4 linked regions of the Pelodiscus sinensis genome follow. The main gene of each other region encodes a partner of the protein of the gene in region 2 in a complex. Links are inferred from orthologs where the notes say so. Each region holds a gene or a part of one and is shown on either strand. Other genes may lie near its edges.

The links.
Region 1: PLRG1 (region 2) and ARMC7 share a complex: the UniProt entries of both Homo sapiens proteins name them as parts of the minor spliceosome. The link is inferred for Pelodiscus sinensis from reciprocal best matches to the Homo sapiens genes PLRG1 and ARMC7.
Region 3: PLRG1 (region 2) and SNRPE share a complex: the UniProt entries of both Homo sapiens proteins name them as parts of the minor spliceosome. The link is inferred for Pelodiscus sinensis from reciprocal best matches to the Homo sapiens genes PLRG1 and SNRPE.
Region 4: PLRG1 (region 2) and SCNM1 share a complex: the UniProt entries of both Homo sapiens proteins name them as parts of the minor spliceosome. The link is inferred for Pelodiscus sinensis from reciprocal best matches to the Homo sapiens genes PLRG1 and SCNM1.

The regions. Positions count from the first base shown.
Region 1 is NC_134730.1:12,490,085-12,497,869, reverse strand, and holds the start of ARMC7 (armadillo repeat-containing protein 7), read left to right. Parts: upstream 1-4,771; 5' UTR 4,772-4,899; intron 4,900-6,096; 5' UTR 6,097-6,100; coding exon 6,101-6,191; intron 6,192-6,362; coding exon 6,363-6,506; intron 6,507-7,785. UniProt on the Homo sapiens protein: As a component of the minor spliceosome, involved in the splicing of U12-type introns in pre-mRNAs.
Region 2 is NC_134715.1:56,845,418-56,853,164, forward strand, and holds the start of PLRG1 (pleiotropic regulator 1), read right to left. Parts: upstream 3,010-7,747; 5' UTR 2,862-3,009; coding exon 2,853-2,861; intron 1,491-2,852; coding exon 1,384-1,490; intron 1-1,383. UniProt on the Homo sapiens protein: Involved in pre-mRNA splicing as component of the spliceosome. Component of the PRP19-CDC5L complex that forms an integral part of the spliceosome and is required for activating pre-mRNA splicing.
Region 3 is NC_134737.1:8,527,974-8,535,487, forward strand, and holds the start of SNRPE (small nuclear ribonucleoprotein E), read right to left. Parts: upstream 3,012-7,514; 5' UTR 2,883-3,011; coding exon 2,829-2,882; intron 2,073-2,828; coding exon 2,046-2,072; intron 1-2,045. UniProt on the Homo sapiens protein: Plays a role in pre-mRNA splicing as a core component of the spliceosomal U1, U2, U4 and U5 small nuclear ribonucleoproteins (snRNPs), the building blocks of the spliceosome.
Region 4 is NC_134734.1:15,658,558-15,666,215, reverse strand, and holds the start of SCNM1 (sodium channel modifier 1), read left to right. Parts: upstream 1-4,651; 5' UTR 4,652-4,804; coding exon 4,805-4,855; intron 4,856-6,238; coding exon 6,239-6,309; intron 6,310-7,533; coding exon 7,534-7,622; intron 7,623-7,658. Other genes in the region: LYSMD1 (lysM and putative peptidoglycan-binding domain-containing protein 1), read right to left, coding at 1,618-1,919, 3,719-3,898. UniProt on the Homo sapiens protein: As a component of the minor spliceosome, involved in the splicing of U12-type introns in pre-mRNAs. Plays a role in the regulation of primary cilia length and Hedgehog signaling.

The sequences.
Region 1 (7,785 bases), on a different chromosome or scaffold from region 2:
CACAAAGGGTACTTCTCGATGGTACTGCAGGCACTAGTGCATCACAAAGGCTATTTCACCGACATCAACATGGGATGGTCGTGAAAAATGTATGACACGTACAGCTTTAGGAACTCTAGTCTTGTCAGAAAGTTGCAAGATGGAACTTTCTCCCCAGACCAAAATATTACCATTGAAGATGTTGAAATGTTTCTTTGGATGTTGACTTCCTTCATGGCTCATGAAGCCGTACACAGGCAGCCTGGAGAGCAGTAAGGAGTAGTTCAACTACAGGCTGAGCAAATGCAGAAAAGTGACAGAATGTGGTTTTGAACATTTGAAGGAAACGTTTCACAATTTACTGACTGACAGCAAAAGCAACATTCCCATTGATGTAGCAACTTTCTGTGTAGTCCACAATATCTGTGAAAGTAAAGGGGGGACATTTTTCCGGTGGGATGGGAGGGTTGAGGCAGATCTCATTCCCCTGGTTTCTGGCTGTTCATAATTAAAGGTTAGGTGAATACATAAAGGAGCAGTGAGAATCATAGAGGCTTTGAAAGCTAGTTTTGTGAATGACAAGACAGCAACATGAGTCATGTATGTTGCTCTTAATAAGGTACCCACTGAATTAAGTGTTGGCCTGTAAACCATCCCCCCATGTCAAATTTAGCATTACTCCTCTTGCCAAAGAGGAGTTCAGAAATCATCTTTAACAGCCTTTAAAGTCAACAGAATGGGGTTGGTGTTTAGAAAATAGACCTAACATAGCTAAAAAAAAAATTAAGGAGATATACCTCTCATATAGAACTGGAAGGGACCTTGAAAAGTCATTGAGTCCAGTCCCCTGCCTTCACAGCAGGACCACATACCCTCCCTAGGTTCGACCTAAACTCATAGTGTAGACCAAGCCTAAACTTTTTCTATCAAAGCTGCCCCGATTTACACTGAATTGCTTTAAAAATTAGTTTAAAGAACTAATATAAACCTATGTAGGCATCTGTTTAAGACCGTTTTTATAAAATTTAGCTCACACCTGTAATTTTACAAGTAATACAAGTAAATACAATATAAATAAATAATACAGGTGTCAGCTAAACAGAAACAACCAGGTTTAAAATCATTTAACAGTGCTGACACCAGTGACACCAGTTCAAGTGAATTGGTTAGAATCACATCTATGTTTGATTTAAATGTATGCAGTGCAACTTTGTATTTAGATCAGGGCATTGTACTCTGGCACAGAGTTATCTTCTGTTCTTTGCTAGATGTTCCTCCCATTACTGGCTTCACTCCACTTTTCCTTTCATAAATAATTTGTCTTGATGTACATAAGCTGTTTAGTCTTTTCATTCTCTTTCCCTGCACTCTGCCCTATTCCTCTTTCCTTCCTTATTTCATTTTCTGTTCTCCAACATATCGGCTATGTCTACATTGGCACCCTTTTCCAGAAAAGGGATGCTAATGAGACAAGTCGGAATTGCAAATGCTGCGAGGGATTTAAATATCCCCCACGACATTTGCATGAACATGGCTGCCGCTTTTTTCCGGCTCGGGGCTTTGCTGGAGAAAAGCGCCAGTCTAGACGGGATCTTTCAGAAAATAAAGCCTTTTCCGGAAGATCCCTTATTCCTCTTAAAATCAGGAATAAGGGATCTTCCGGAAAAGGCTTTATTTTCCGAAAGATCCCGTCTAGACTGGCGCTTTTCTCCGGCAAAGCCCCGAGCCGGAAAAAAGCGGCAGCCATGTTCATGCAAATGCCGCGGGGGATATTTAAATCCCCCGCGGCATTTGCAATTCCGACTTGTCTCATTAGCATCCCTTTTCCGGAAAAGGGTGCCAACGTAGACACAGCCATCCTGTATGTTTTCTCTCTCTTTTCTCTTCCCAAGGTTCTCAGTCTCATGATATATTTAAAAACTTTATTCCTACACAGACTTTTACCCACTGCAGTGATAGGTATCCCATGTAATTTCTTTTAACATTGTTTTGCAAGTCAGCAAGTCTAATGATTTACATGTCAAAAGCAGAAACGCGGGTGGTGGGAACCCACAGCGGAGACTGAAGCAGTCGACTCTGATAGAGGCAGCAAAAGGGGTGGGGGGAAAGCAACTAGTCAAGTTGACTATCCGATAAACATTTGCTTATTGGATACTCGACTAGTCACTTACATCCCTACCCTGCACTCTAGTCCCCTTCCCTGGGTCACTACTGCCTTCTTCACCCAAACTCCCTCCCAGACTCCATTCTCCCTCATGCACCCCAATCCTTTACCCCAAGCTCCCTTCTGCACCCAACCTCCATCTTAGACCCCACATCTCCTCCATCAAGAACATGGAAGAGTGCAGCCCTCGACCACTTTCCAAAATTTTGGAGTGGTACCCCATCAAAAATTATTGCCCACCCCTGGAATAGGGGATATAAAAAAATATTATTATAAGCAGGTCTCGACAAATAATGTAATCTACTCGCCTATGGCGAGTAGATTACAACTCGGAAGAGCCGGCGCAGAGCGATCTGCGCATGCGCAGAACGGCATGGCTGGCGAGTGGGGCTTGCCACCACTTGGCAAGCCCTGATTATAAGGAAATACAAAAATAATGAGTGAAAGTCTTATTTGGGGATATTTAGGCCCTTCCTAGAGTGCAAAAAAAAAAATTCCTGCTTTAAAACACATTGTTTTTTATTACAGAAAGAGTTAAACAAATACCATAATGTGTATTTACATCTGTAATTTCAAGGGAGAGTGGTCCCTTCATATTTCAATCAACAATACAAAGCCTGCTGTGAATACCACACAAAGCAATAACAAATGGGATGCACTTAGGGATCAGTCATTTTATGCTTAAAATTAAGCTCTTCAATCACTCTTAAGGATGATTTATCAGACAAAAGCTGTAGCTAAAGTCTTATTTGGTAGTGTGCAACACTATCATGGCAGAAACAACAGATTACAAAAATCACTTTAGATAAGATATAAAATGTTACATCAGAGAGATCCAGATTTCTAGACACTTCTCACCTTAAGTGACAATAAACTCAGGTATATTGTCACCAGTCAATTATTTTAGCACTTATAGCACCATTCATCCATGGATCTCAAAATGCTTCATACAAGCGGGCAAGCACTGTTACCCCACTTTACAGCTAGGAAAGCTGAGGCACAGAGGGTGTTTCTTGATTAGGCAGCGTGGTCAAGTTCAGATCACGCTTGGTTAATACAAGTTAGCAAAACCTGACCTTCTTTCCCCTAGAATAGATGCAGGATACCATCTTCTAGGCCGCAATTTGATTAGCTAAATATGTCTAAACTAGGAAAAGGGTCTAATTTAAGTTAGGCTCGGCTAACATATTAGCTAAGTTCAATCTAAACTCAACTGCTTTTCCCAGTGAAGACAACCCCAGAGAAGCTGAATGACAGTGACTCGTCCAACATCACACAATGCAATTCACTGGCAGAGCTAGGACTTGAACTTATCCCAGACTGCCAGAGCCCTGATCTGACTAGTAGATCACAATACCAACACGGGGATTTCTGAAGCCATCACTCATGCATATCAAGCAAGTTGGGGGAGGAAACTCCAGCCAATATCCCTGCCAAGCCGATGGAAGCTTCACTCAGTCTGTGCGCACTGTGTGCCATGTGCAAGAGTTGTATATATTCTTCACTTCCCAACACAGCTCCCCATCCCTACTGAAGGGGTGAGCTGGGCTCCCTGGAGCCCTCTCAGCCTAGGAGGAAGCTTTCCTCTCTGCCAGCTCAGCCAGCTGCTTCTGGCGCCTCTGCAACACCTCTTGACGCATCTTCTCATGGTGCTCGTGCTCCCTGGCACGGAGCTCCTCCACCTCAGGGAAGAAGCGGTGCCTGAGACAGAGAAAGACAGTAACTGCAGTGCACTGAGCCCCCCTGAAACTTCCCAGTTCCTCTTACTCACCTGAGTCCCCCACCAAAGCCCTGCCAGCCATGTCCCCCAATGTTCCCCCAAGACCTTCTGGCCAGGTTCCCACAAGATCTTCCAACCAAGGGCCCCCAGAACCTCCCCCACCCAGATGAGCCCCCCCAAGGTCTGCCGGCCAAGGCCGCCAGGGTCCCCCCCCCAGATGAGCCCCCCAAGCTCTGCCGGCCAAGGCCCCCAGTGTCCCCCCACTCAGATGAGCCCCCCCAGCCAAAGTCCCCAGGGTCCCCCCCCAGATGAGCCCCCCCCAAGCTCTGCCGGCCAAGACCCCTAGTGTCCCCCCCCAGATGAGCCCCCCCAAGCTCTGCCGGCCAAGACCCCTAGTGTGTCCCCCCAGATGAGCCCCCCCAAGCTCTGCCAGCCAAGACCCCTAGTGTCCCCCCCAGATGAACCCCCCCAAGCTCTGCCGGCCAAGACCCCTAGTGTCCCCCCCCAGATGAGCCCCCCCAAGCTCTGCCGGCCAAGACCCCTAGTGTCCCCCCCAGATGAACCCCCCCAAGCTCTGCCGGCCAAGACCCCTAGTGTCCCCCCCCCAGATGAGCCCCCCAAGCTCTGCCGGCCAAGACCCCTAGTGTCCCCCCCCCAGATGAGCCCCCCAAGCTCTGCCGGCCAAGGCCTCCAGGGTCCCCCCCCAGCTGAGCCCTACCACCCAAAGCCCCCCCCACCTGTGCACGAAGGCGGCGGCCAGCGCACACAGGATGCTGCCGAAGAGGAGGGGCTTCGCCAGCCGCTTCCGCGCCGACATACGACCCATAGCGGGACACAAACAGGACCCCCCCCCCCGCCACCCTCCTCATACGTCACGTCCGGCCGCTCTCACCATTTCCGCTCTTCTTTCGAGTGGCCCCCCGACGTTCCGCCCCTCTCTCCCCGCGTGCGCAGGCGCGGGGAGGGGCTGGCGAGGCGCTGCGCGCGAGGCCAGAGGGAGGCTGGAGCGGCCCGGGACGGGACAGCGCTGGAGACGGTGCGAGCTTGGCGCTGGGTTGCAGAGCAGGGTCGCCCTGCAGCCCCGGGCGCGCGGTGCAGGGTGGCTACAGCTTGTGCTTTTCAGTGGGAGAGCTCGTGGTTTTGGTGCAGTTGTGGAATGGCTGGGTTTGGCAATAGTGCGCCGCGGCCCCTTGCAAGCCGCCCATTCACCAAAGGTGGCAATGATGGAAGCTACAGTGTAAAGTGAGCATTGGGGGTGCGTCTAGACTGACAAGCTTTTGCTGCAAAATCTTGCCAGCTGTCTACACTGGCCCCTTGAATTTGCACAAGAGCACGGACTTTGTAATGGATAAAATCAGTGCTTCTTGCACAAATTCTTCCACGCTCCTGCTCGGGAAAAAGCCCTCTTGTATAAGAATACTTGCGCAAGAGGAACAGTGTAGACAGGGAAGAACTGTTTTGCGCAAAAAAGCCCCGATGGCTAAAATGGCGATCGGGGCTTTCTTGCGCAAAATCACATCTTGAGTGGCCATGGATGCTTTTGCGCAAAAGCATCCTTGCCAAACTAGACGTGCTTTTGCGGAAATACTTTTAACGGAAAAGTTTTTCCGTTAAAAGTATTTCCGCAAAATCATGCCAGTCTAGACGTAGCCTGGGGGATTACCAGCGTAAAAGGGTTAAAAGACTACAGTAAAAACTCATGGCTAGCCTATGCTACAGGCTGTCCTAAGTCCAAGATACATTCCAAAAAACTAAACTTATAGCGAAACAACTTAAGCAATTCCTGGTGACTGACTTCCATTTGCACAAATTGGTTGTTGTTTTTTTGGGGAGGGGGAGGGTGCGTGACTTAAGAGCGGGGAATGGGAGGACTCTTAATGCATCAGTTCCTACAAGAGTCAATGACTTTAGTGTGGAACAGATATATGCTGGGGCGACTTATAGTGGAGACTGATGTAATGGAGCTGCAACAATGCTTGATGAAACATGGGACAATTGCCAATGATTCTCAGTGCAAATAAGATAAACCCAGTTGTAGTGAGCATGTTTCTGATTCAAACCTTGACAGGGCTGGTTATACTACCACTTTCAGTCCCCTCAGTGAATGTGAAGGGAGAGAAAAGAAAACCAATTGCCTAGTCTATACTTCTCAGAATGTTTTTATTAACCTTGCAGTGAAACTGAGGTCATACAGGACACTATTTTGAACAAAACTTAATTTTCCTCTCTTTAGCACCATGTCTCAAAAGCAGCAGGATCCACTGGACCTGGGGCGGCTTGAATACTTGCAAGCACTGGTCACAGAGTTCCAAGTAACAGAGTCTCCAGGTGAACTTATAAGCCTTTTTTTATTATTATTAAAGTATATTCCAAATGTCAGGATCATAGCTGGCTCATCAGTTATTGGGGGGGGGGGGGGAGAGAGGTTTTCTTCAGAAATGGGACAGCCCAGCCCACCTCAGCTGCCTCATTCTTCACCTAAATGCATATATATTGCAGAAGCCAAGGAGCAAGTACTGGCTAATCTAGCCAACTTCGCCTATGATCCCAAGAACTACGAATATCTCCGACAGCTTCAAGTCCTTGACCTGTTTCTCGATATGCTCACAGAGGACAATGAGACCCTCGTGGAGTTTGCAGTTGGTAAGGAGTAGCCTTAAAACTTTGTAAAATGAACAACAGTAGTTGAAAGCACTAGTTGGATTTTGATGGATCAGGGGATGTCAGCCTTGCTGCTTTGATTCTGTAGTCCAACTGAGCCAGTTGTAACTAGCTAATTGGGCGCCTAAGGCAAGACCGTCCTCAGCGAGGGCGGGGGTACTGATATGGCGCAAGGCATGAGCGAAGACCGCGTAGTAGCTGTCTTTTCTGTGCCGCCTCAGCCATGCACCCGAGGCAAGTGCCTCACTCACCTCGCCCTTGTTATGGCCCTGAATTGAACTTGGGGGAGAGGCTCAACTCCATGACAAACCATCTATGGCAGATGTTGCTCAAACTGCTTAATGCCCTCAGATACTACAGCGATGATAGGAGTATAAAAATCTATACAGAACAGCTGAAACAGGTGTGAGATCAGGATAGGAAAGCTTCCTAATTGTTAGGGTGGTTAAGCACTGGAATAAATTGCCTAGGGAGGGATCTCCCTCATTAGAGAGATTTAAGAGCAGTTGTGACAGACGTCTCTCAGGGATGATCTAGATCAGTATTTTCCCAATGGTGTTCCGCGGAACCCCGGGGTTCTGCAAAGTGAAAATAAGGGTTCCATGAGAAAATTCCATTACAATTATATTTTATGATTTAAAAAAAATTTAAGCATTTATGAATTTTATTGAAAACAATTTTCATTTGTGTTTGCCACGATAAGTGTCCTTGTGTAATGTCATTACGCTGTGCACACAGTCAGACAGTGGTGTGATCGCCTGTTATATACCACCGTAAATACCCATACTCACTCATTCTCAATGTGTTTTGTTTTTAAATATGTGCAATTAAACTAAATGTTGATCTCATGAACTTGTTTAGCATTTTTTTATTATCCTAACTTATTTGTGGTCTACTTTTTCAGCTCCATATATAAAAGATTGTTATTAGGGGTTCTGTAAAATTCTTTCGAGTTTAAAAGGGTACCATGGCCAAATAAAACTGGGAAACATTGATCTAGATGGTGCTTGCTCCTGCTAGGAAGACAGAGGGACTGGACTTGACCTCTCAAGGTCCCTTCCAGTTCTAGTATTCAATAGGACTTGAGGTGAATTATTTCATATTAAGGCAACATTCCCCTTCACTCTACTAACATGCTGCAGTGCTGAAAATTAAACTGTGTAAGATTAGATAAATCTCTAAATAGTGAAACACAAAGTGTAGCTTAATGAGAGTTTTTAACCCACGTCCTTATTGTAATGAGACAACTATTGAGAACAAC
Region 2 (7,747 bases):
GAGGCTTACTGGTTTTGGTTAACCAGTGAGGGTTGGAGCTGCTCCCCGCCCACTGCGCATAGGGGGGCTGTTTCAGATGGGGCACTCCAGACTGCCCAGACCAGCCTCTGTCCACGTCAGGGGTGGGGGAGTCCACAAACAGGCTAAAGCAGTCCCCTGGCAGCCTCACCTTTAATAGGTTAATCAGTTACACATTACAGTTAATCAACTAAATGGGATTTTACATCCCTAGTTCACATTTCCATGGCAATCCCTCTACGACAGTGGTCCCCAACCTTTAGAGGCTCCGGGGCGCCCGGGAGGTGGGGCCACTCACGCGCTGGGCACCCGGGAGGTGGGGGCCACTCACGCGCCAGGCGCCCGGGAGCGGGGCCGCGCGTCCTGGGGCACGTCAGGGGACTGGGATGCCCTTGCACCCGGTGCCGGTGTGTGCCCTAGGGCCGGGGCTGGGGCTGCCCAAGCGCTTTGTGCCGTGGGCCCGGGGCTGGCGCTGCCACCCAAGCCACGCGCCTGGAGCTGGCACCAGCGCTGCTCGAGTACCGCGTGCCCGAGCGCCCGCACGTGCCCCAGGGCTGGGGCCGCCCGAGCGCCGCGCACCCAGCGCCGGTGCATGTCGCGGGCCAGGGCCTCCAGTGCACCGGGGGCAGGGCCAGCCCAAGTTGTTGGCAGGCGCACACGAATGCCCCAGCGGGTGCCATGGCGCCCGCGGGCACCGCGTTGGGGACCACTGCTCTACGACAAAGCTATTAAAGTCCTTGCCACTGAACTGACAGCCAGCCAGTCAGCCTTGCAAGCTCCCAACCCAACCAGACAGGCTTTCAGAAGATAAGACTCCTAGCTCCACAGCAGAGAATCTATAAGCCCTGGGAACCTTAGCTTCAGCCTGGATTTCAAGACTCCCTGCTATGAAGCTAGGAGCCTGGAAGTCCTGATACTGACTTCCACACTCTGTGTATCTAGGACAGCCTCACCATGAAGACTGCCCTGGGATCAAGAATCTCTCAGCTTCCGGACTCTGACTAGCTGCTGGCTAGTAATCTGGAAGCCCTGAGATCATTGGGCAGGGTGGTCTTCAGGGAGGGCCGCCTGAGAGCTACAGACCTTGGGAGCTACAACAATGGCTGACTGAAAATGACATTCTTGTCAGTTTCTGGACTACTAAATGTCAATTTCCAACAGCAGTTGCCTGTCCCCAGAATCAGTATTTTATTTTAGAAGCACCAAATATAGTTTCCAAAATTAATTTTTAGTTTATAATGAAATCTAAACTGGACCAAATACAAAAAAATTAAATGAAAGCAAAGAAACTGGAAACAGTTGCAAAGGAGGGCCTCACATTAATGTTTTTAGACATACCAATAATTTTATGATAGTTGTTCTTACCTTACATCATCCAATGGTATAGGCTTTCCATTATCAGCCACAAACATATCATGAGTTCTCTTCAAGGATCTGAACACTAATGTGTGCACAGAGTGTTTTTGCACCTCCTGCAGCAGAGGAGATACATTTAATTATATATATGGTTTAATTATATATATGATAATTCAATGAAAAGCCTGAAAACTACCAAGAAAATTAATGATTCTTGTCTTCCATATGTAAGAAACGAACTCAGTTTAGTGTATGCAGTGGTGCTTGAGTGGTAAAAACTATAATTTGGTGTAAGAGACAGTTTCATTTTCCCCATCCTCAAACTTAAATCACCACTTAATTATTTTTTCCTTTCATGGGATACTGTGAGAAAAAAAATCTAGCAGGACAAAACTTTGATCAACATTTTATTTCCAACTGTAGGCACATAAGTGAATTTAATGAAGACAAACAAAAAAGGTTTTTATTTACACTTGCCAGCTACATTTTTATAAATAACCAATAAAGCGAGTCAGGAGAAAAAAAGCTACTCAAGAATTTATTGTTGAGTGATTGAAGGATATTTATTTCCTATATTTTGACATGTGAGGTTGACAATTTGTGTTTGAACAGTTATCAAACTTTTAACTTTTTGAATCAACATCTATTGTCATTCAATAGTCTGAGCCTCCATCAATAGTTTCCAAGAAGCATGAACATTTAAATTCTAAAAATTGGAAAAAGCTTACAAATGAAAATGGATATTACTAATTGGTATAACAAAATTATAGTTCTACAGAGCCTAAATATAATTTTAAAACATAATTAACAAGATAATCTGCTGGTCTGGTCTGACTGAACACTGCAATTCCTATTGTTTGATGCTAATGCCACTTGCTTTTGTAAAGTACTTTGAGATCTATGGCACCTAACAGGCCATGTAATCAGATAATAAAAGAAATTAGTCTGATGGTTTTCTGTCCAGTTTTACCTGCCAGACCTCCATATAAACGCAGCACCACAGGGGCAAATACTGGCTGCGGGGGAGGGGACATCCCATGTAGCAATTAAAATTTTGGTGAGACACATGGGGAGGGAGGGTAATCAACAGTCCCCTACGCCGCGCCATACCCTTTGCTACTGGTCAAGCCCCTTGGTAAAGCCAGCAGAGGCCCAGTGCCGGAGAGCGGCTGTCGGGTTTAGGGCTGACAGGGCGGCAGGAGGGTGCTCACGTTACCGCCAAGCGGCAGAGACGGCGACACCTTTCCCGCAGGTTTAAAACCTTTTCTGCAGGAACGCGGCTCCCCCCGTCCCGAGGGCACAGACCCCGCAGGGGGCGTATCGGGAACGCGGCGCGGAGCTAATCGCTGACACAGGGGAGGCCGAAATCCCCCCGCCCCCCGCGTGCGCGCGTTGTTCAGGCCGCGAGCTCCTCGCTCCGGCAACGGCAAGCCCCGGGCCCGGGTGCTGGAGTTTCGGGGGCGGGGCCGGTCTCTCACCTCCACCATGGTGCCCGCTCCCCCAGCAGGAAACCGGCCGCGCTGTCCGGTCCGCTCTCCTATGGAACTACTTCCGGCGCCTGCCCGGCTGCCCCGGAACTGACGCGCTGAGACATGCGCGCGCACACGCGCGGCACTGTAGCGCTGAGGGGGCGGGAGGCACTAGGAAGAAGGCGGGAGGAGCAACGGACCTAACGGGCGTGGGAGGCCCGGCCCCTCCCCGGCGGAGGCGGCTCGCGCTGCTTTGGGAGCCGGGGGTTCGATTCCTTCCTCCCCCCCCCCCCCGATGCCCAGTGCAGCGGGGGGAGGTGCCGGGGGCGCTGAGAGCTGCGGAAGGATGAAGTGTTTCTGGCTCCCTGCAAAAGATGCGCGGCGCTAGGTGCTGGCGTGAGGATGCAGGGGGGGCTCTATACAGGCTTTATAGTTTGGTTGAGTAGCTCTCAGCACCCCGCAAGGCTACCAGTCTGCAAAATGCACAGCTGCAAGGGTACCCCCCAAATTACCTTCAGCAGCTTTGCAGGCACTGGTGGCCAGGCTCATCACCACCCCCTGCCTGTGGCCTGAGCACAGCAGAGCTGTCTCTAAATTGGGTAAAACTTAATCAAAACAAATAGTCTAGTAGCACCTTAAAGACTTAACAAAATATGTAGATGGTATCATGAGTTTCTGTGGGTACAACACACTTCTTTAGATGCCTGCAATAGATCCAATAAAAGTCCAGAGCCAAGAATAAATAAGGGAAAAGGGAGGAAGAAAAAGAGAAAAATGACAGTGAACAGATTGTTCAAGTTACAAGAGGCTGATAAAAACAATTAGCACCTCCGTTGGTTAAGTCATTAGGATGTGGAAGGTAGTGTGTGGAGCCCACCCCACCCTTTCCGGAAGCCCCACCACTGCTTTGCTGCACCCACACCACCCTGCTCTGCTCCCTCCTCGCCTCCATTCCACCCCAACCCCTGAGCAAAGTGGGCTAGGAGACTAAACGGGGGCCTAGTGTTGGTAGCAGGGATCAGGACCAGCCCCATACTCACTGGTGGCAGCAGGAAGCAGAGTGATCCAGCTGCAGCCTGCTCCACTCCACTAGCTTCCAACCACATCACACTGCTTTCCACCACCACCAGCAAGTTCAGAGTTAGTTTCACCCTTTTTCCTAAACCCCTTCCCAGGACAACAAGGCTATAGCTACACTGGCGGGTTATTGCACATGATCAGCCGTTCTTCCACAGAGCATCCACACTGCCCATCTGCTCTTGCGCAAGAAGATTTACAGTAAAGCGTGGTAGGAGAGGACTTCTTGTGCCAGAGCTATGCTCTTTTCTAACAGGTGTAAGCTCTCTTGCACAAGAGGGCAGTGTGGATGCTTGGCAGGGGTTTCTTCCGCAAGATAGCCCTTTGGCTAAAATGGCCATCAGAGCTTTCATGCGCAAGAGAGCATCCACACTGCCATGGATGCTCTTGTGCAAAAGCACATCTTGCACATGGCATTGTGAACGTGTTCTTGCACAAGAACACTTGCGCAAGATGTGGGAACCAGCAGTTGGGCTGGGTCTGGGTCTCTCCACTTCTTGCTGCTGCTTGTGAGTGTGGGGGTGGGCCCAACCTCTGTTGCTTCCCTGCCTGGCTGCCCTGCTCCTGCCTACCCTCATTGATGGACTGCCCCTACTACAGAGTGTCCCCCACGGGGGGCTGTGTAGGACACCAGAACTGCTAAGGACAACTTTGGCCTTCCACTATAAATATTGTTGCAGCATCTCTAAGTAAGCTTGTATGGTTTAGGGCCATTGATTTTAGATGAGCCTGGTTCATCAAGCACCAACAGCACCTTTTGTGGTGACACAGCATTCACAGCATGTTTTGGGTGTTGAGGCAGCTGGGGATAGATGGAGCAAGCCACTGGCGGTGAGCCCTGTATATAGGGCAGCATAACTTTCAGGAGAGTCCTTTCTAGTTTCAAACACCAGAGTTACTGAAAGCATTGTTCTATCTGAGCTGTGGGACGGCCACTCATCATCCCATTAAGACCTGCACAGGCGCTGAGGATGGCAGCGAAAAGAGATGCCTCTACCCAAACCCCAAAGCTACCACAGATAGGGGAGAGGTGCTCTACCTTACTTGCTGGAGCAGGGAGCTGTGGTGGATGGGACAAAGGCCCCCTCCCTACTGGCCCCAGCACGAAGCAGCCACAGCTGGCAGGGAAGCGCCACTCACTGAATCCCATTAGGAAGAAGCCATGGGTAGCAGCAAGGGTGCCATTTTTGGGAGAGCGAAATGGGGCAGCAGCTGGGTGTACTGGGACACAGCTTGCTTTTCTTCCTGTTCCCCTGATGATAAGGGAATGAGGGGAAAGTGCTTGCATTCCGTGAATTACTCCTCTGCCCCCTTCCTTCACCAGCCAGGATTGAGAGGCATGCATGGAATCCAAGTACTTTCCCTTCGTTCCCTTATCATCAGGGGAACTGGAAGAAAAGCAAGCTGTGTCTTGGTATGCACAGCTGCTGCCCTCCTCCCCCTCCACACACACCCCATGCTCTCTTGAAACACCACCCTTGGCCAGCAGGGAAGCCATCATCAGGTTCAGCTCCTCGGCAGAGGATAAACGATTCTATGCATTGAGCACTGGAACTGCACTCTCATTGACTGGGAACCAGCCAATGGGAGCTGGGGGCAGGCAGTGTATGTGGGCAACAGCAGCACGCATGGTGGAGCCTCTTGCCACTTTCCTCATGAATTGGAGCTGATGACCATTTCTGGGGCACAGTGTGATGCCCGAGGCAGGCAGGCATCAGGCAGCCTGCCTTTGTGCTGCTGACCAGGAGCCTCCATGTAAGCCCATCACTCAACACTCTACACCACACAGAGTCCTTCCAACTTGGAGCCACCTCCTACACCTCAAACACCTCATTCCCAGCCCCACTTCAAAGCCCATGCCTCCAGTCCAGAGCCTGTACCCCCTCCTGTACACCAACCCTTCCCAAAGCTGGAGTTCCCTCTTGCATCCCAAAATTATCATCCTTAACCCAGCCCCAGAGTCTGCACCCCCAGCCAGAGACCTCACATCCCTGCACTCCAATCCTCTGATATAAGCCTGAACCCCTCAGATTCAGCTCCATACGAGAATCCATACCCTCAGCCAAATCCCTCCTGCACCCCAATTTTCTGCTCCAGGCCTGAGCCCCTACCACACTCAGAACCCCTTGACTCCATGAATTTTGTTATGTGTACCAATATGAAGGTGATGTGTTAAACATTACCTCTATATTGGTGCATGCAACAAATTTCACTTCACTAGAGGTGGGAAGAATTAGAGGTAACATTGGGAACCCCTCTAGTGAGTGAACTTCCCCTGGCACCCTGACAGAACAGGACTCCTTTGAATGAAAAGCTGTAGCCAATTGAAATATGCATCTTGATCATGTGTTAGAAGATAATAAGGGAGCAATGCTTTGCAAACCTGTTGACAGTTTTTACAGACTACCCCCAAACAGGCTGAGAAACAGCTTTAATTTAATTTAGGCTCAAAGCCTGACCCTTACTCCCAGTCTGCTTGCCATAGAGTAAGACCTCACACATTTTCTTTACCTAAAATGGTTTACTGAATTGATGAGGAACTTTAAAGTGCATACACATTGTTCACTAGCCTAAACAATTCAGCCAGATGGCAAAAAAAAAAAAAAGTTAATAAATGACTGAAAAGAGCTGTTTAGAAGATACGTTCTTATGCAGCTTTAACTGCAACAACACCATGTTTTATCCAGACTACCTTGTGTCATTTCTACTCCTCAATCTCTGGGGATTATTTGATGAGGAATACATCTAGCCATGTAGCAACACAGAGGTTTTGTATAAACAACCATTGCACCGAGCTATTAACCATCCAAACATAGCAACTGCAATTACAGATGCTAAACAGAAGAGTGCAACAGTTAGCTTTCTAAATACAGGCAGTCCCCGGGTTACGTACAAGATAGGGACTGTAGGTTTGTTCTTAAATTGAATTTGTATGTAAGTCGGAACTAGTACATAATGTAGGGGAAACTCTAGCCAAACATTTCTCCAGAGCTCAGTTTTATTCTCCCACACCTCACTTCCCTCAGTCCTTTATTCTCAAGCTGAGGTGTCTGTTCAGAAAAGCCGCTCCGCGTCTCCTTGGTCTGCTGCAGGGGGGCGCTAGCTTCGCATTTCCCTGGTCTGCTGGGGGGAAGTAGCTAGTGCGGGCTTGCCTCACCCCGTTTGTAAGTAGGGATCCGATGTAAGTCGGATCCATGTAACCCGGGGACTGCCTGTAACTGTAATAAAGATCAGAATCTGCTGAAAAGCATGTTGACAATTCCAAAATGAGAAATATCTCTGGAGTATTGGTTTCTGAGTTTAGCTTCAATTTTATAAAACTTGATCCAACTTTTTAAACTTATTAGAATGCAGAGAAATATTTTAGTTAGTTTTTTTCTAATTAATAGACATTGTAATATATTAAACTTTATATATGAAATAAACCAGAGTAATGTGGACAAGGAGACGTGTTTTTAATCTAGAATCACAATAAGCAATTTTTAAAGGAAAACTGCATTATGATGTGATACTTTATTCATTACACTTAATAAAAATTAAATTCACTAAAGAACTGAGCTGTTCAAGGACATATTTAAGCTACCTTTGGATACACATTTGCCAAGTTTATATGTGCAAATCAGTAATTACAAATGTGTTTGATGTACCTCTCAGTGTTCACATCTGTGTTTGTATCTATTCGTTAATACTAGAGGTCTGTTTCTCCCATATTAAATATAAAAAAGTTTTTCTATTATGTATGTGAGTCCTGGATGAATAGTAACATGGGATGGGCATTGATGTACAGAGTATCCCATTCCTAGAGTCCTGTATGGATTCAAAATTTA
Region 3 (7,514 bases), on a different chromosome or scaffold from region 2:
TGAGCAAAAAAAAGCGCCCCCCCTCCCCCCCAAAAAAACCATGGCACCTTTAAATTTCACACTCCCTTCCACATGGCAGGGGAAGAATGTCCCAAGTGGCTTTCCAGCTGAGAAACTGAAAATACCAGACATTTTACTGGGGGGGGGGGGGGGGGGGGGGGGGGGGGGGCGGGGCAAAGCCAGGAGTTTGGATTGTGCCTCAGGGCAGGGGATTGGGGTGCAGGGTCTGGGAGGAGAGTCTGGGTGAAGATATCAGAGTGGGAGTAGCTGGGGGACCGGACACTTACCAGCGAGACACGCTGCTCTCCTGTTTCTCCCACAGGACCTTCCTGGCCATGTGCTTGGGGATTGGTAGGTTCCCGCAGCTGCCATTGTCCATATCCGGACAATGGGCTTGTGCGGGGGGGGGGGGGGGGGAAGCAGCCATGAGGGACCCTCCCCTGCCGGCTCACAGCTCCTGCTCCACAAAGGGCCCCGCTACGACTGTTTTGCATGGGGCGGGGGGAAGAACCCGACGAGCGTGGGGCTTGCTCTGGATACTGAAGCGCCTACGCGGGCTGCCTGTTGCAGTGGGTGCAGGGCTCAAGCCTCCAAAGCGCCATGTCGGGCTCCCTCGTGGGTCTCAGGCTGCCGATCCTGCTCTAAAAGCAGGGGTGAATGTGAGCAGTTTTAAAACGCTGGCGCAGGCACACGTAAATGCCACCGTGGGCGCCATGACGTCCGCGGGCACCCTGTTGGGGACCACGGCTCTAAACCTACATCAGAAGTTAACATGTAACTCAGTGGGCTATCACAAGGTAGCTTTTAGGGACCAAATTAATACTGACCTGACATACGTTAGGACACTACAGTAATTTTTCTACCCAAGGCTTATCAGAAAATAGGTCAATCTAGAGAGAAATGCATTTTCTTCTGATAGATTTGGGTACAAGGTCCAAATCATGGAATCTGCTATTTCACCTTAATGAGAGCACTGACAGCCTAGTAAGCAAAAGCTCTTTGCTCCATCCACAAAGCAGCATAACACCAAAAAATACAACCAGTGATAATGACAAACTAAATCTTCAGCAGTTTAAGGGGGCTCTGGGAATTGCTCAAGTTGCAAACTAGATACAAGTCAAAAGTTGTTTACTTCATGCAGATGTAAAAAACCTCAAAAGATGCAAAACCCTTGCATCCTGATCAGATTCTAATACAAATCATTTAACTCAGCGCAGAAAAGAATATTTCTATTTTTTTACTTGATAGTGGAAAACATCTCCCCAGCCCTTATGGTGGTATAGCACACTGGTGTGTAGGAACTTATTTTTCCAGATAGGTATGACATGGCCAACTTTCAACACAATACAGCAGGATTTATGGCTTTAACAGTTAACACATTCATTCATTATAATCATTCAGTGTTTGTTCCCCACCACAAACACACACACACTATTATGCCATGTGCCAATAATCTTCATCTTCTATTTAGCTGGGTTACAACGTCACCAAATTACACACAGTTGCTTCAACAGTCTCTGGAAAAAATATCTATCTTAAGAAACTACGGCAATGACTGTCACAGAAACACTTAAGGGCTAATATGTTAAATATTATCAGTATAATTGTTAGCTAGAAATGGAAGAAAATGATCACTTCATGAATCAGAGAGCAATGCTTGTATAAAGAAGCCTACAGTAGACAAATATAAACCAAACAGCATAAAAAATGCTATACGCTATCGCTTCCAAATAAAAGCTAAATATTACAGAAACCTCACAGTGTTGGAAAAAGCAAGTTTAATTTACATTTTTTCCTGACTGCAATTTCTCCACACATCAGCACTACTGGGTTAATGTCATGTGGAGAGGCCACTAATCTCAAAAGAGGTCAACAGCAAATGCTACAAATCTGCTTGGAAATCTGATGCACTTCCCCCATCCCAAAAAGATGATGCATCAGATACAAACCTCAGTGGCACCATAGTGGCTAAATACATGCTTTGGGTCATATTTACAATCAGACAATGAACAGGCATGCAATGAGAATTAGACAGTATGACTTACGTTCTGCAGGTATCTGAAGATGAGGTTCTGTAATACAGCACTTAAGGAAAAGCACAGAAGCAGCACCGACTGCAACATGGGTCACTGTAACAACTAATCTGGTTATCGCCAAAGCTTCCATTTTAAAAGTGCTTTACTTTTAGGCAAATAAAAATTAACAATTTCTGGAGGCGGGGGGGCGATGCCGAGTTGGCATTTAACCCACCTGTCCCCCTTCTATCCTGTTCTACCCTTCCCAGTGCTCCCTAAGGCCAGAGGTGACAGAACGACCTCTAGGGATAAATCCCTGCAGCTCGCCAGCAGCCAGCGAAACCTACAGGCGCCTTCCAGCCGGGAGTTAAACCCAACAGCGCCGGGGATGGGCTCTGAGACCCGGGAAGTGCCCCCCCCCCCCCCCGCCGCACACCCAGGGCCTATCCCCGGCGCGTGCTGAGAGGAGACCTCGATTCCCAGCACGTGATACTGGGTGAGGGGCTGGGAGCTGCATGGCAGCCCCCCCCCCGGCTCCAGCGCCCAGCCCCCCCCCCCCCGGCTCCAGCGCCCAGCCCCGCTGCGAGCACCCTGCTCATCGCCTCATTCTCCCCCCTCGTCTCGCCCCCCCCCCCCGGGCCAGCCCGCTCAACCCCCCCCCCCACCGGGCTCCTCAGACCCCTCATTCTCCCCCGGAAGCCCCCCCCACTCATCTCGCCCCCCCCCCCCGCACCAGCCCGCTCAACCCCCCCCCCTCAGGCTCCCGGCCCCCCCCGACTCCGCCAGCCCGGCCCCGCCCCCGCGGCAGGATACGATGGGCTGCACCATCACCTTCTGCACCTTCTGGCCCTGCCCGCGATACGCCATGGCCGCGAGCGCGCCTCAGCCACCCGGCAGGAGAGAGAGAGAGACGAGGAGAAACCGTTACCCGCCGCGGCCCCCACGCGCCCGCCGCAGCAGCTGCCCGGCTTCCGCTCCAGACCGGAAGCGCGGCTGCCCCCGCGGAACGCCGGGAAGCTTCCCCGGCCGCTCTGGCACGCTGGGAGGACTGCCGTCCCGCCTCTACTGCTCCCGCCTCTCTCTGTCTCTTGTCCCACTGCGGGCGAGGCCCCCAGCCTGGAGCTGCGGCTGCGCAGAGCAGGCCAGGCAGGGGTGCCAGACAGAGAAGCCACGTGCTGAAGGCGGCTGGTTGCAGGAATAACTCATGCCATGCCCCCCCCCCCCACCCTGAGAGTAAATGTTCTGCAATAGACACACACCGGCCTTGGACTAGACTAAGACACTGGAGGATGCTTGCAGGGCCTGCACCTAGAGCCCCGCTGCAGCATTGGTACCGCAGACACCAGGCCCCGCTGCCTTCGATCCGGGGTGCGGATACCCCCCGGGATCTGCGCATTTGCAGGGTTCTAGATACAAAGACTGTCCCCCGCACCCATCGGCCAAAAATTAGTCGCAGAGATCTGCAGATTTGCAACGCTCAGCATAGTGACCCTATGGCCCCCAAAATCCGGGACTGTCCCAAGTTTTAATGTTTTTTCCAGGTGTCCCGACACCCCCCAGATTTGTCCCGGAAAAAAGTCCCTCTCTGCTTCTTTTCCTCCCTCCTAGCCCTCCCTAAGGAGGAGTCAGGGATGCTTCTGGGACTTCCCTGTGAATGAGGATCCAGCCAATAGAAGAAGCAGGAGGTTGTGCCCGTAGGAGCCTGGGAAGCCGAGTAAGTGGCTGGGCTGCCAGCTGGGACAGACAAGGGGAGGAAAGGGGGGAAGCAGTGCGGTGAAGAGCATCTCTGCTGGGGGTGTGTGAAGAAGAGCACCCCCCATGGCCCGGTGGAAGGGGAGGGGCAGAGAGCAGCACCCCACCTCATGGCTGGGCTTGGCTAGACGGGGCCAAATGGTGGAAAAACAATTGGAAAAAGCTACTCAAATTGTGGCGTGCAATTTGCATAGCTTTTTCAGAAAAAAACCCTGATAGGCCCAAATCCACTCCTGCGTCCACCGTTCCTCCTGCACCCTCCTCCTTCACCACACACTGTCCTCTCCCCCTAGCCAGATACTCTACTCCCAGCCTGTTGCGGCACCCTACCTGCCACCCACACCTTGCAACCTCTCCCTCTTCTTCCCCCCACCTCTCTCCCAGATCCTGCACCCCATCGCTATCCCATTCTCTGGTGGCCCTGTCTCACATACTGAACCCCTGATTTTTGTTCCCAACCCAGAAACTAAGGGGGCTCCATAAAATCTTCCAGAAAAGTTGGGGCTGGAACGCTGGAGGAATGTGGTGTCTCAGTTGGGGGTCACGTTGGTGAGGGTTCGGGGTTTTTGAAGTTCTTTTGCTTCTCATGTCTGTGGTCCCCAACTGACTTTTCTGTGGCTCAATGGCCCCTCACCCAAAAAATGTTCCCCATGCCGGCCATAAATAATCTAAACTTAAAAAACAACAAATGGTCTGATAGCACTTCAGCTTGAGAATAAAGGACTGAGGAGAGTGAGGTGTGGGAGAATAAAACTGAGCTCTGGGGAAATGTTTGGTTAGAGTTTCCCCTACAATATGTACCAGTTCCGACTTACATACAAATTCAACTTAAGAACAAACCTACAGTCCCTATCTTGTACGTAACCCAGGGACTGCCTGTAGTTAACAGTGAGATTCCATTAGCAACTGGTGGTCTATGGAAAGGTTTACATTGGCCATTGGACCCCCTGGCTCAACAAGGTTGAAAATGACTGAAATAGAGGTACCCCTGGCCTCTCTCCCGAGAGACATCCCCAGTCTCCCTGTTGCTCCAGAAGAGCCCCCAGAGAGATTGGGTCTGTTACCACAGTGGTGAAATCAGTCACTCAGGTGTGGATGATGGACAGACTTTTTGTGAGTTTTCCTCATCCAAGCAGTTAATGATTTAAACCATGTGTTAATATGCCAGGTGAAAATACTTGGTGCCTCCATAGAGGGACAAGTTGGACGTTAGGAAAAAGTTCCTAACTGTCAGGGTGGTGAAACACTGGGATAAATTTCCTAGGGAGGTTGTGGAATCTCCATCTCTGCAGATATTTAAGAGTAGGCTAGATAAATGTCTAACAGGGATGGTCTAGATAGTACGTGGTCCTGCCATGAGGGCAGGGGACTGGACTCGATGACCTCTCGAGGTCCCTTCCAGTCCTAGTATTCTATGATCTCTCTCCAGAGAGGTTGTGTCATGGTGAACAAGCCCTTTGTGAGCTCTGTGAAGAGGTGAGATGTTTTGACTTCCAGCTTCAAAGGAATTTGTTCTGTCTTTGGGCTACACATTGCCTAGACTTCAATGGAGCTAGCTGAGAACGCATTTCTTAGTTATTCTGACACAAAGTGAAACCTGTGCTAAAGACCCCATGTCTAGTGAGAGAAAGTGCTGCTGTCTGAAGTAAATTCAAAGTTTCTCCAAATTTCTTCAGTTTGCCTCTACCAGGCAGTGGGGCTTTGACTGATTGGTCCCTTATATTTTTGAAGGATGACTAAATATTACCCAGATCTTCTTAGGTAATATCAACAGATTGCTTTGGGCCCAATCCTAGCTTAAAATTAAATTGGATCAGGCGCTTTGTAAGCAGGTTGGGAAGTGGTCTCATTTGGCAATTATTATTAGCTATTATTTACGTAATATAGGCATTGCCATCATGGTATTGGCATAGACATTTCTCAGTAGCTTTACATATAAAATAGCCTAGCCCCATTGATATAATGGGCAATGTACCTTTCAAGCAGAGGTAATGAGGATTCATGACATAGTCTTCCCCACCCTGTAATTGTCATGGTTCGGTATTGTCATTCTGGCTTGTGGAAATGGAGGACACTTCATAATTTTGCAGTTACTTCAAAAAATGCGGTTGCAGTCCATTTCATTAGGGATGTAAATTCCCATTCATCAGTTAACCGGTTAATGTTAGGTCACAGTGGGGCTGCCGCTGGTTCCCAGCCCCTTCTGGAGCAGCCCTTGTCTATAGCAAGCTGGACTCCCCATGGAGAGAGGTGCAGTCCATGCCTTTGGGGCCCCCGAGTTCTCCAGAGACAATGGCTGATTTGGATGAGCGTAACCCCTATCTGCAGCAGGCCCTCTATGAGCCTGGAGCAGCCCCCTTCCTAGCTCCAGCCCCCTCTGATTACCAGTTAATTGGAGCCAGTAGGAAACATCCATTAAGAGGACTATGGAAATTGTCCCATGAAATTGTGGGATAGTTCTGGATGATTCCCAGGTTCTGAGTCAAATGGGGCTGCATCTACACTGCAAAGTAATAGGTCTTATTGGATCTCATCTTGAATCGAGGTTAGACCCCTAGCACTGCACTATCATGGGACCCTAGGTCTATGCAATTGCAGTATAGTTGCATGGGAGACTTCTATGGGGCCCAAATAGATCCCTCTAGGTAGAGAATGGTGGGAGGAGTGCTTTAGAGGGGTCACATGACACCCTTTACTTCCAGTGATATATTCATCTTGACCCTGGAAATACTATCCCAGGGGTGGGATTTCCTGTGGCAGGTAGGTAGGGCCTAAGGGGTCAGGGGCCCCGCTAATGGTTTCAGGGGGTGTGGCCAAGGTGTCCCTATTTTTGATTCAGAAAATATGGTCACTGTTAAATTCCACTCACTTCACCCTACATCCTCTCCCGGACAACCGTGCAATGGATAACATGGATGTTCAGATCAAGATGAACATTTGCATGGTAGGCACAAAAAGGATGCCTGCCTTGCTATCCTTTTGTTCCTCTCCTTTAAAGTAGATTTGTCCCCAGTTCTAGGAGGCCATACATATATGTCATTACTGCAGTTTGTCAAGTGTATGCTGGAATAATACAACCACTCTCACTCTCAGAAGACTGTGATGAAGTTGAGGAAAGCAAGCACATTAAGAATTTTCCAGTGGCTTCACCCCCTCCATTTGTAGGGCTTTGTGCTCTGCCCAGCTCTGGCATGCACTGTTGTTTGGGCAAGTCACTTTACCTTTCTGTGTCTCAGTTTCCTCTTCTGTGAGATGGCAATTATATTCTTCCAGTTTTGTGAAGCGCTTGGAGACTGAAGGATGAAAAAAAACACACTCAAGTATTGCGATTCCACACACACAGTGTCCCACTGCCTGCCTTCCATTGTTTGCAAGCTCATCCTGATTCCTCTCTGCATTCTGTGGAAACCATTTTCAGATTTAGCTAGAAGCCATCTTGTATAACAGAAACCATTTCAGCTTCTTGCTTCTGCATGTACGCCAGTGAGTGAACTTTCTGTTACCCCATGATAGAGGCCTGCAAGATGAGCTATTGGAATGTGTTAATTGAGCTGGTTGAGAAGGGAGACCCACTCCCTAGTACCTGCCCACTGTCTTGCTGATAACGGTTTTGCTTTTCTAAGTTTAATTAATGATTTCTATAATTGGATGCCCCGACGTCAGACTTGTTTGGTTAATGGTATAAAGATACTAGGATTGATTGTATTAGCAGCCTTACTGGGCCCAGCTCTGCTGGGACCACGTTTG
Region 4 (7,658 bases), on a different chromosome or scaffold from region 2:
TACAGATGGGAAGGAGGGACGACTGTAGAAGCTCTGTGGGATCTTTGTTCAAAGCCAACAAAACCCTCACATGGCTCGGGAACCTCGGGCAGAGTGTGAACCAGCAGAACTGGGGGCAGGGTGGGGGGGCCATGGCCTGGGGCTAAGACTGAGGGCCAGGAGCCCAGGGCTGGGAAAGGAGGGGGCTGCGGGTGCGGATTTAGGGGCTGGAACCTTGCTCAGTTCCGAGCAGAGAACTTCACCGCAGGCAACGGCGCCCTCTAGTGGCCCCCAAGTCTAGCGGAGCTGGCTTCGGAGCCGGGGATTCCCTGTACAGCAGCCAGTGGGGGGCCAGACAGTGGCCACAGGCTCCTCCAGCTACGCTCTGAGCCAAGGCACTGGCAGCGGATCCCCCTGCAGCTCTGCACCAAGGGGAGGACAAGAACCCGGCGGTTTCTAACAATCCAAGCCATACGGGGACCTCTGCCCCGTGAGCCACAGACAGTGACAGACTGGATCCATCCCACCTAGCGTGTCCTCCCCCTCAGGAGCGACCAAGGGCCGTTTCCCCTGGAGGGACCCAGGAAACAGCCTGGGACCCTGGTGAATTCCTTCCCACCTCGGCAGTGCGCAGCACGAGCCTGGCAGGACACGATTTCTTAGCTCTTGCCAGCACAGCGCCAATAGGAGATGAGGGGGGGGGGGGGGCAGGGAGGGGCCAAACAGCATCACGCTGCCGTGCGCGGCTGTTCATCACCTTCAGATAACTCCTCGTCATTCACGCGCAATCAAGCCTCTCCTCCCCGCGCCGGATCCCTAGCTGCAACGCCAGCGGCATCTGCACTTGCCTGGCCACTGTACAGCACGAGGAGGGGCAGGATGGGGGTTGGGGAGGCCCGGAGCAGCCAAAGCCTGGGGCATACATCACCTCTGCCCAGTCAGCAATGAAGAACCCCTCGCCGTCCCCCTCAGGCCTGAGCTCTCTTCACGTCAGCCCCCACCAGGATACTGCCCATTAGCCTTGGGGACCAGTGTTCCCTGAAAGCTGAGCCCCGAGGTGACCACCCAAGAGAGATTCAAATGCCACCCAGTGGATTAGCAGAGTGCCCTCCAGTGCAAACAGCTGGCAGCATGTTTCTATTGGTGGTGCACACTGACACATGCCTTGGTGCATATAAAATATATTCCTCAAGTGGATGGGAAAAAATGAGAGAGACCATTCTTGGGGACTCCTGATTAAGTCTGGGCCAGTGGGGAAGGAGCAGGCTAAGGGGCAGGACATGAGTGGGGTCTCACAGGTTTCGGGCTGCGGGCTCCTTTCTTTTTAAATGAGCACAGCACTTGATTTGACAGGGTTTTCATTTCTCCCCCCCCCCCCATGGGTTTGTCAAACCTGAGCTGCGGGTGCTCGGGCATCACTGCGCCTCCTATGGGAGGCAGCTGAAACTTGTGGGGTCCCCTTGCCCATAGCAGCCCACAGAGGATATCAGAGCAAACACAAGGGCAGCCGGCAGAGACTCTCCTTCTATGCTGTTAGCAGGGGCCTATGTGCTGGAGCAACAGGACTGGGGTTCCACCCCCTGCCTATACAGCCCGGGCACCACATTAGCGCCACAGTAACTGCAGGGTGGCACTCACGTTGTTTCCCCCTCTCTCAGCTTCTTCACCGCGGCCTTCTTGGACAGATTGATCTCGGAGTCGAGCTTTCGTAAGAAATCCGTGGCCGAGAGGTCATGACGGGGGGTGGAGCCTGCGCTGGCCGCAGAGCTGTTTTTCAGCACCAGCGTCTCCTTTCCCGTGGCAGGCTGTGTGGCTCCTTCCTCCCGCTTTAAGCCGTTCACCATCTCCTCGGGCTCCACCAGGACAGGGATGTGCAGTGTCGTCTTGAGGAAGATGGAGTCACTGGTGTACAGACGATTTGCCCGCTTGATCTGCTCCATCTGGGAAGGCACCATAAGACTTGTAAGCCCACTAGCCTGCGACAGACATCACCAACCTTCTCTATTCAGAGCATGGTCCTAAAAGCTACTTTGCAAGCTGGGTGCCTAATATCAGTCACTACCAAAATGCAGCCACTTCTGGGGTGGAGGGCACCAGTAAGCAAACAGAACACCACACAATGAGAGAAAGCAGGCACACAGCTGGCCTGGACTGCAAATGCTGGGTTTGTGCTGGCAGGGAGAAGGGCTGGAGGTCACTAGAGATTTAATGTTGAGGATGTGGGGGGACAGACTCCGCATGCTTGAGGCTCAGGTTTCAATGCAGCCAGATGAGTCTGTGCTCTCTCACTGGAGGGGAGAGGGCCATGCCATTGACAAGTCTGCTAGCGGGTCCACCCCACCGGTCTCCTATGCTCTGCTGGGGGTGGGAGGGATGAGGAAAGACAACCTGGAAACCCTTCACCACGGCACATGCCTCATCTCCAGCCCAAAGACCAAAAAACCCTCCTTTCTACCTTACTGGCTGCTCATTAGGTCCCTGCAAAATGAGCTGGCAGGTTCTCAGCACTGGCACTGAAATAAAGCTGGCCCCCTGGCTGGCAGCCCCAGAGAAAGCTCCCCTCTTTCCCTGCCCCTCCAGCTGCACGGCAAGGCACTCCTGCAGCGAGCAGCATGCATGTGTTCTAGGGAAGAATGAATTGCTGTGGTCAGGCTCCAGGCCTATCAAGGTTTAAACTGCTGAGGGCCACTACTGCCTGACCACACCACAGACAGCAAAGCTGGCCCGGCCCAGCCGGATATGTGTGTGTGGGGGAGGGGGGGGATTTTGTTCCCATCACCAGGGGAATTTCTGCTGCATACACTGAACTCCTGTGAAAACCACTTGGGGCCACAGAACACAAAGTTGCAAAATACAGGAAATGAGAAGGGTGCAAGTTCATGTGAATGCACAAGTGCACATTAGCCGGATCCCATCAGCCACATGAAGAGGCAACAGCACACCTGGGCAACCATGAGGAGACAGCAATTGAAGGATTGGAACCCTCAGACCTAAATCTGCATGAGACTTCAGACTTTCAGCCCTCCCGTGCATCCACCCATACTCCGAGGACCCCAGTGGGGTGCCCACTCCAAGTTCCATGATCAGGACGCTGGACTATGGCTTTGATTTTCTGCCAATCCCCTTCTGGAGTGCCATAAACTATTATGAATCATTAGGTGTATTGCAGAAGCCTCTAGGAGCCTCAGCCAAGAACCAGGAGATCCCACCACAGGGGAATCAGAGGTGCCTGGACGCAAGAGAGGTGACTCCTGCCAGCAGCCCCTCTTCTTAGGGGTGCTCATGATGGGAGCCTCCCTACTTCACCCCAGACATTCAGCAAACAAAAAAGCAGTAATGCTGAGTATTTTAGCAGAACTCCTCATCCAAGACACACAAAGCACAGTACAAAATGGGGTCCCCCTAATCAGTGGAAATCAATGAGGCCCCAAGCTGCAGGATCAGGGCTGACACAAGAAAGAAGGGAAGCCGGGACAGGTCAGGTATCGAGCACTTTACAAAAGGTACATCCATGGGAATAGCTTTTTTTATAAAACGGAGAAAAAGGTATAGAGTGGTGACCAGAAACCAGAAGACATGGCTTCCTGTTCCCTGCTCCATCCACAAGACCCTACTCCCCTCCAAAGCTGGGAACAGAACCCAGGAGTCCTGGTACTGCCCCCTGCTCCAACAGTGGGACCTCATGGGCACCCCAGCTACATCCCCCAGATCGCAAGGGGAAGCTGCTGCGCAGACCTACCGTGACGCCATACTTGAGTGCCAGCCCCTGCAAGGTGTCCCCCGGCTCCAGACGATGTTCCACCCTCCTCTCCCTCACCGGGGAGTGTGTCGACTTGATGAGGCTGCCGTAGGACCGGGTCCTGCTGCCACAGAGCAAACCAGCCCCTCCAGGGGATCCTTGCCTGGAGGGGGAGGCCATCTCCCCCCCCAGCCCCCAGTCAGTGGTGCAACCAGTGCAGGCGGCAGAGGGGCCTGGAGGGGTCAGGACTCCTGCCAGCACCCTCTTTCCTGAGGGGTGCTCATGGCAGAACGAACAAGGGCCTCCCAGGCAGACTAGGGACCCCCCACTTCTAGCCCCCCCGCTTCTAGCCCCCCCCCAAAGGGTCTCTCTCCGGTCTTGCTTCTTCTCCCCCCTCTCGGCCTCTAGTCCAGGGCAGGGGGCCACCCAATTTCCGCCCCACACTGCAAAACGCAGCCTGCACGGATGGGGGTGCAGGGGGTCCCTCGATTTCCTCCCCACCCCTTCCGCCGGAGAGGGATAAGGGGGGGGGGTTCCTCTATCTCATCCGCGCCGCCCCCCCTTTACTCGGGGGGAGGGGCAAATTACTCTCCCCTCCCCCCGGAATCCAGCCACCCCACGGACCCCGCCACCCCGCGCAGGGCAGCCAGAGTCTGCGCTGCCTCCGCTCCGCCCCGCCCCAACAGCGGAGCGGGGCCAACCCCCGCCCACTCCGCGCAAAGGCCTCTGGGAACATAGTCTCTCCCTAGCAAGCTCCTCCCCGCCTAACAACGCTCCGCCCCTTTGGAGGCCACAGGAGAAGCACAGCGGGGAACATCTCCCCCCTCCCCCCCAACCCAGCCACAAGCGTCGCCTCGCGGAAGCAGAGACGTGGGTGAGGACTACATTTCCCAGCATGCCCCTCGCCTTCTAGCCCTCTCCACGCATCACGGCGGTTTTGACCCCAGAGGCCTATCGGTGCCGAGCGCCCAGAGGCATGCTGGGAAGGGTAGTCCCGGAAGTGAACCGAAGAGGAAGTGCGGGGTGGCTCCAGTTGTCATGGTTACCGCCGGTTGGGAAGGGGTCTAGCCCTCCCGGGGCGCCGCCATGTCCTTCAAGCGGGAGGGGGATGACTCGGGCCAGCTGAATGTGCTGCAGGTGAGCGGCGGGGCGGGACACCCCGGCTCCGCCCCCCGACCGACCCCCCCCAACCACCACGGGCCCCACAACTCTCCTCATCCCCAGAGCAACTCCCTGAGCCCCTCAGCTTCCCCAACGCCGCCCCGCTGGCTCTTCCCGCAGCCCCTCCCAACTCCTGGCAGCCCCGTTCCCCTGTCCTCCCTTCAGCCTTCCCGCAGCCCCAGAGCGCCCCCTGCTTCCCCTCCCAGCCTCTCCCCGCCCCCCCTTCAGCGCCGCCACGCCCCCTCCCCAAAACAATCGCCTCAACTCCCTGCCGGCCTCCCATCCTCCCCCAGCCATTCCCCTGCCCCCCCCGACACTCTCCTGCCCCCACATTGTTCCCCCTGCTCTCCCGTCCCCCAAACAATCGCCTGCCCTCCTCCCAACCCTTCCCCCCAGCCCCAGAGCGACCACCCGGCTGCTTCCCTGCTACTCCCCCCTCCCCTTTACTCCCCATCCCCAGAGTGGTCCCACAACACTCCTCAGCCCTTGGCGCCTGCCTTCTGGCCCCCTTCTCCTGCTTCTATTCTTAGCCATTGCCACTGGTCTGCAGGATGACCTTGGGCATTTCACTGCCCTGCTCCGTGCCTCAATTTTCCCATCTGTAAAATTGTAATAATGATAATACCAGCCTCCTTTGTAAAGTGCTCTGAGTCCCACAGTAGAAAAGCACTAGATAAGATCTAGAGGTGGTGGTGGTTGTTCTATAGGCCCCTATCAAAATGACAATCCATTTTGGTCAATTTAATGGTTACAGGATTTTTAAAATAATACATTTACTTATTTTGGCTATCTAAATCTGAAATTTCAAGGTGTTGTAATTGCAGCAGGAGTTGTGGGGGGAAGGGACGACTGTGGTACTTTTCCCTTATTTCTGCACTGCTCCTGGTGGCAGTGCTGCCTTCAGAGCTGAGCATCTCTAAAAGCAGAGCTGCTGCCAGCAGCAGCACAGAAGTACGGATGGCATGGCATGGTATTGCTTCTCTTATCTCTGTGCTGCTGCTTGCAGGATGCTGCCTTCAGACCTGGGTGCCCAGCAACAGCCATGGCTCTATGGCCACTCAACTGTAGGCAACGCAGAAATAAGGGTGGCATTACCATGACACCCCCCCCCCCACACACACACACACAACTCCCTTTTTGGTCTGGACCCCCAATTTGAGAAACATTGATGTCTCCCATGAAATCTGTATAGTATAGGATAAAAGCAAACAAAAGGCCAGATTTCACAATGGACGGCTAGGTTTCATGGTCCGTGACTCATTTTTCATGGAAGGGCCCAATTCATCCTGGTGCCAGGTGCTATGCCGCCCACACCCAAAATATTGATTCCTCAGTAACGTGGCCTGTTCATTTATTCAGAAAAGAAGAGTTGCAGATCTGCTGGCAAACTATATCCCTGAGGATGAGGCACTGTTGCTAAGGAGCGGCAGGTATGTTAGATCTATTCTAAGGTAGGCAGCATTGTTCTGAGAGGACCATGTGCCATAGGAATCAGATTACAGATGAATCTTTGAACCAGTTCAATTAATTGATTACTGCATATATTTGGGGGGCTGAAGCTGCAAAATTGACCACGTGACCTAATGCACAGAGTACCAAAGTGGGAGGCAGGACACCTGGATTCTTCCTGTTCTGGTACAAACCTCTTTTGTGTCCATGAGCAAATCCCTTTATCACTCGGTGCCTTAGTTTCTCCATCTGTAAAATGGGGATAACAATGCTGCCCTTCCTTTCTCAAGTGCTTTGAGATCTAGTGATGAAAAGCACTTGATAAGAGCTCGCCTAGGGGTGGTGGTGTTTATTAAATGTTCTGATCTGGATTTCCAGCATTCAGAAATGTTTTGCTCAGGCCCATTATAAAAATAAAGATGGTCTGTAAAACATAAACCTGGATCTAGCTTTGGACTTGAAACACCACCAAAATCCAGGGTGCAGTGCATTGAGGCTGATCTGGGGTGTTTTGTTTTTTGGGTTAGTTTTCATTTTGGCTTTGCAGAGAGTTCCTGTTTCCCTTCAGATATAAAAGAGCCACATGCCCCCAAGAGAGCCTCTGGCTAATATTACAGACTCAGACAGGTGTCACCGAGGTGTGAGGGATTACTACAGAACAGTACAGGGCAGTAGAAATCATGTGCAACATAACAAGCGAACAGAGTGAATACAGCTTTCAAACTTTTAAATGCCTAGCAGAGAATGAGCATAAACCAGTGGCCATGGGGCCAGGAATTTGGGTTTCAGTTCTTGACTCTCCTTGGTTGTCACTTAAGTTCTGACCTGTTTCCCTAAATTTCAAACTGGAGATGATAAAATAAAGGGCATGTGGTCCAGCATCCAGGACACTGGTGTGGGAATCATGACTTGTTGGGCAAATCTCTCAGCTTCCCCACGTGTAAGATGGGGTAGTAACATTTATCCTGGCTAGCTGTGCTCTGGGAACCTTGGCCAATTATATTTGTAGAAATCCCACTGTGTTGAATGACTTTGAGGACCATGGTCATTTATTCTAGTGAATGTCTCTCCCACTTGCAGTATTACCAAGTGCACTGTCTCTTAATGCTAATAAGAAAGGCTGGGCCCAACTGCCCTAGCAGGTATGCATGAGGGGGCAGGGATTATCCTGGCTTGATCTGACCATCTTTCCTCTTCTTCCTCAGATATGCCTGCACAGTGTGTTTCCACCGTCCGGTCTTCGACACACTTGACATGCTGACAGTCCACAGGGCTGGCAAGAAACATGTAGCTAGTAAGTCAGCCCCAAGGGCTCGGTTGCTCAAGGAAC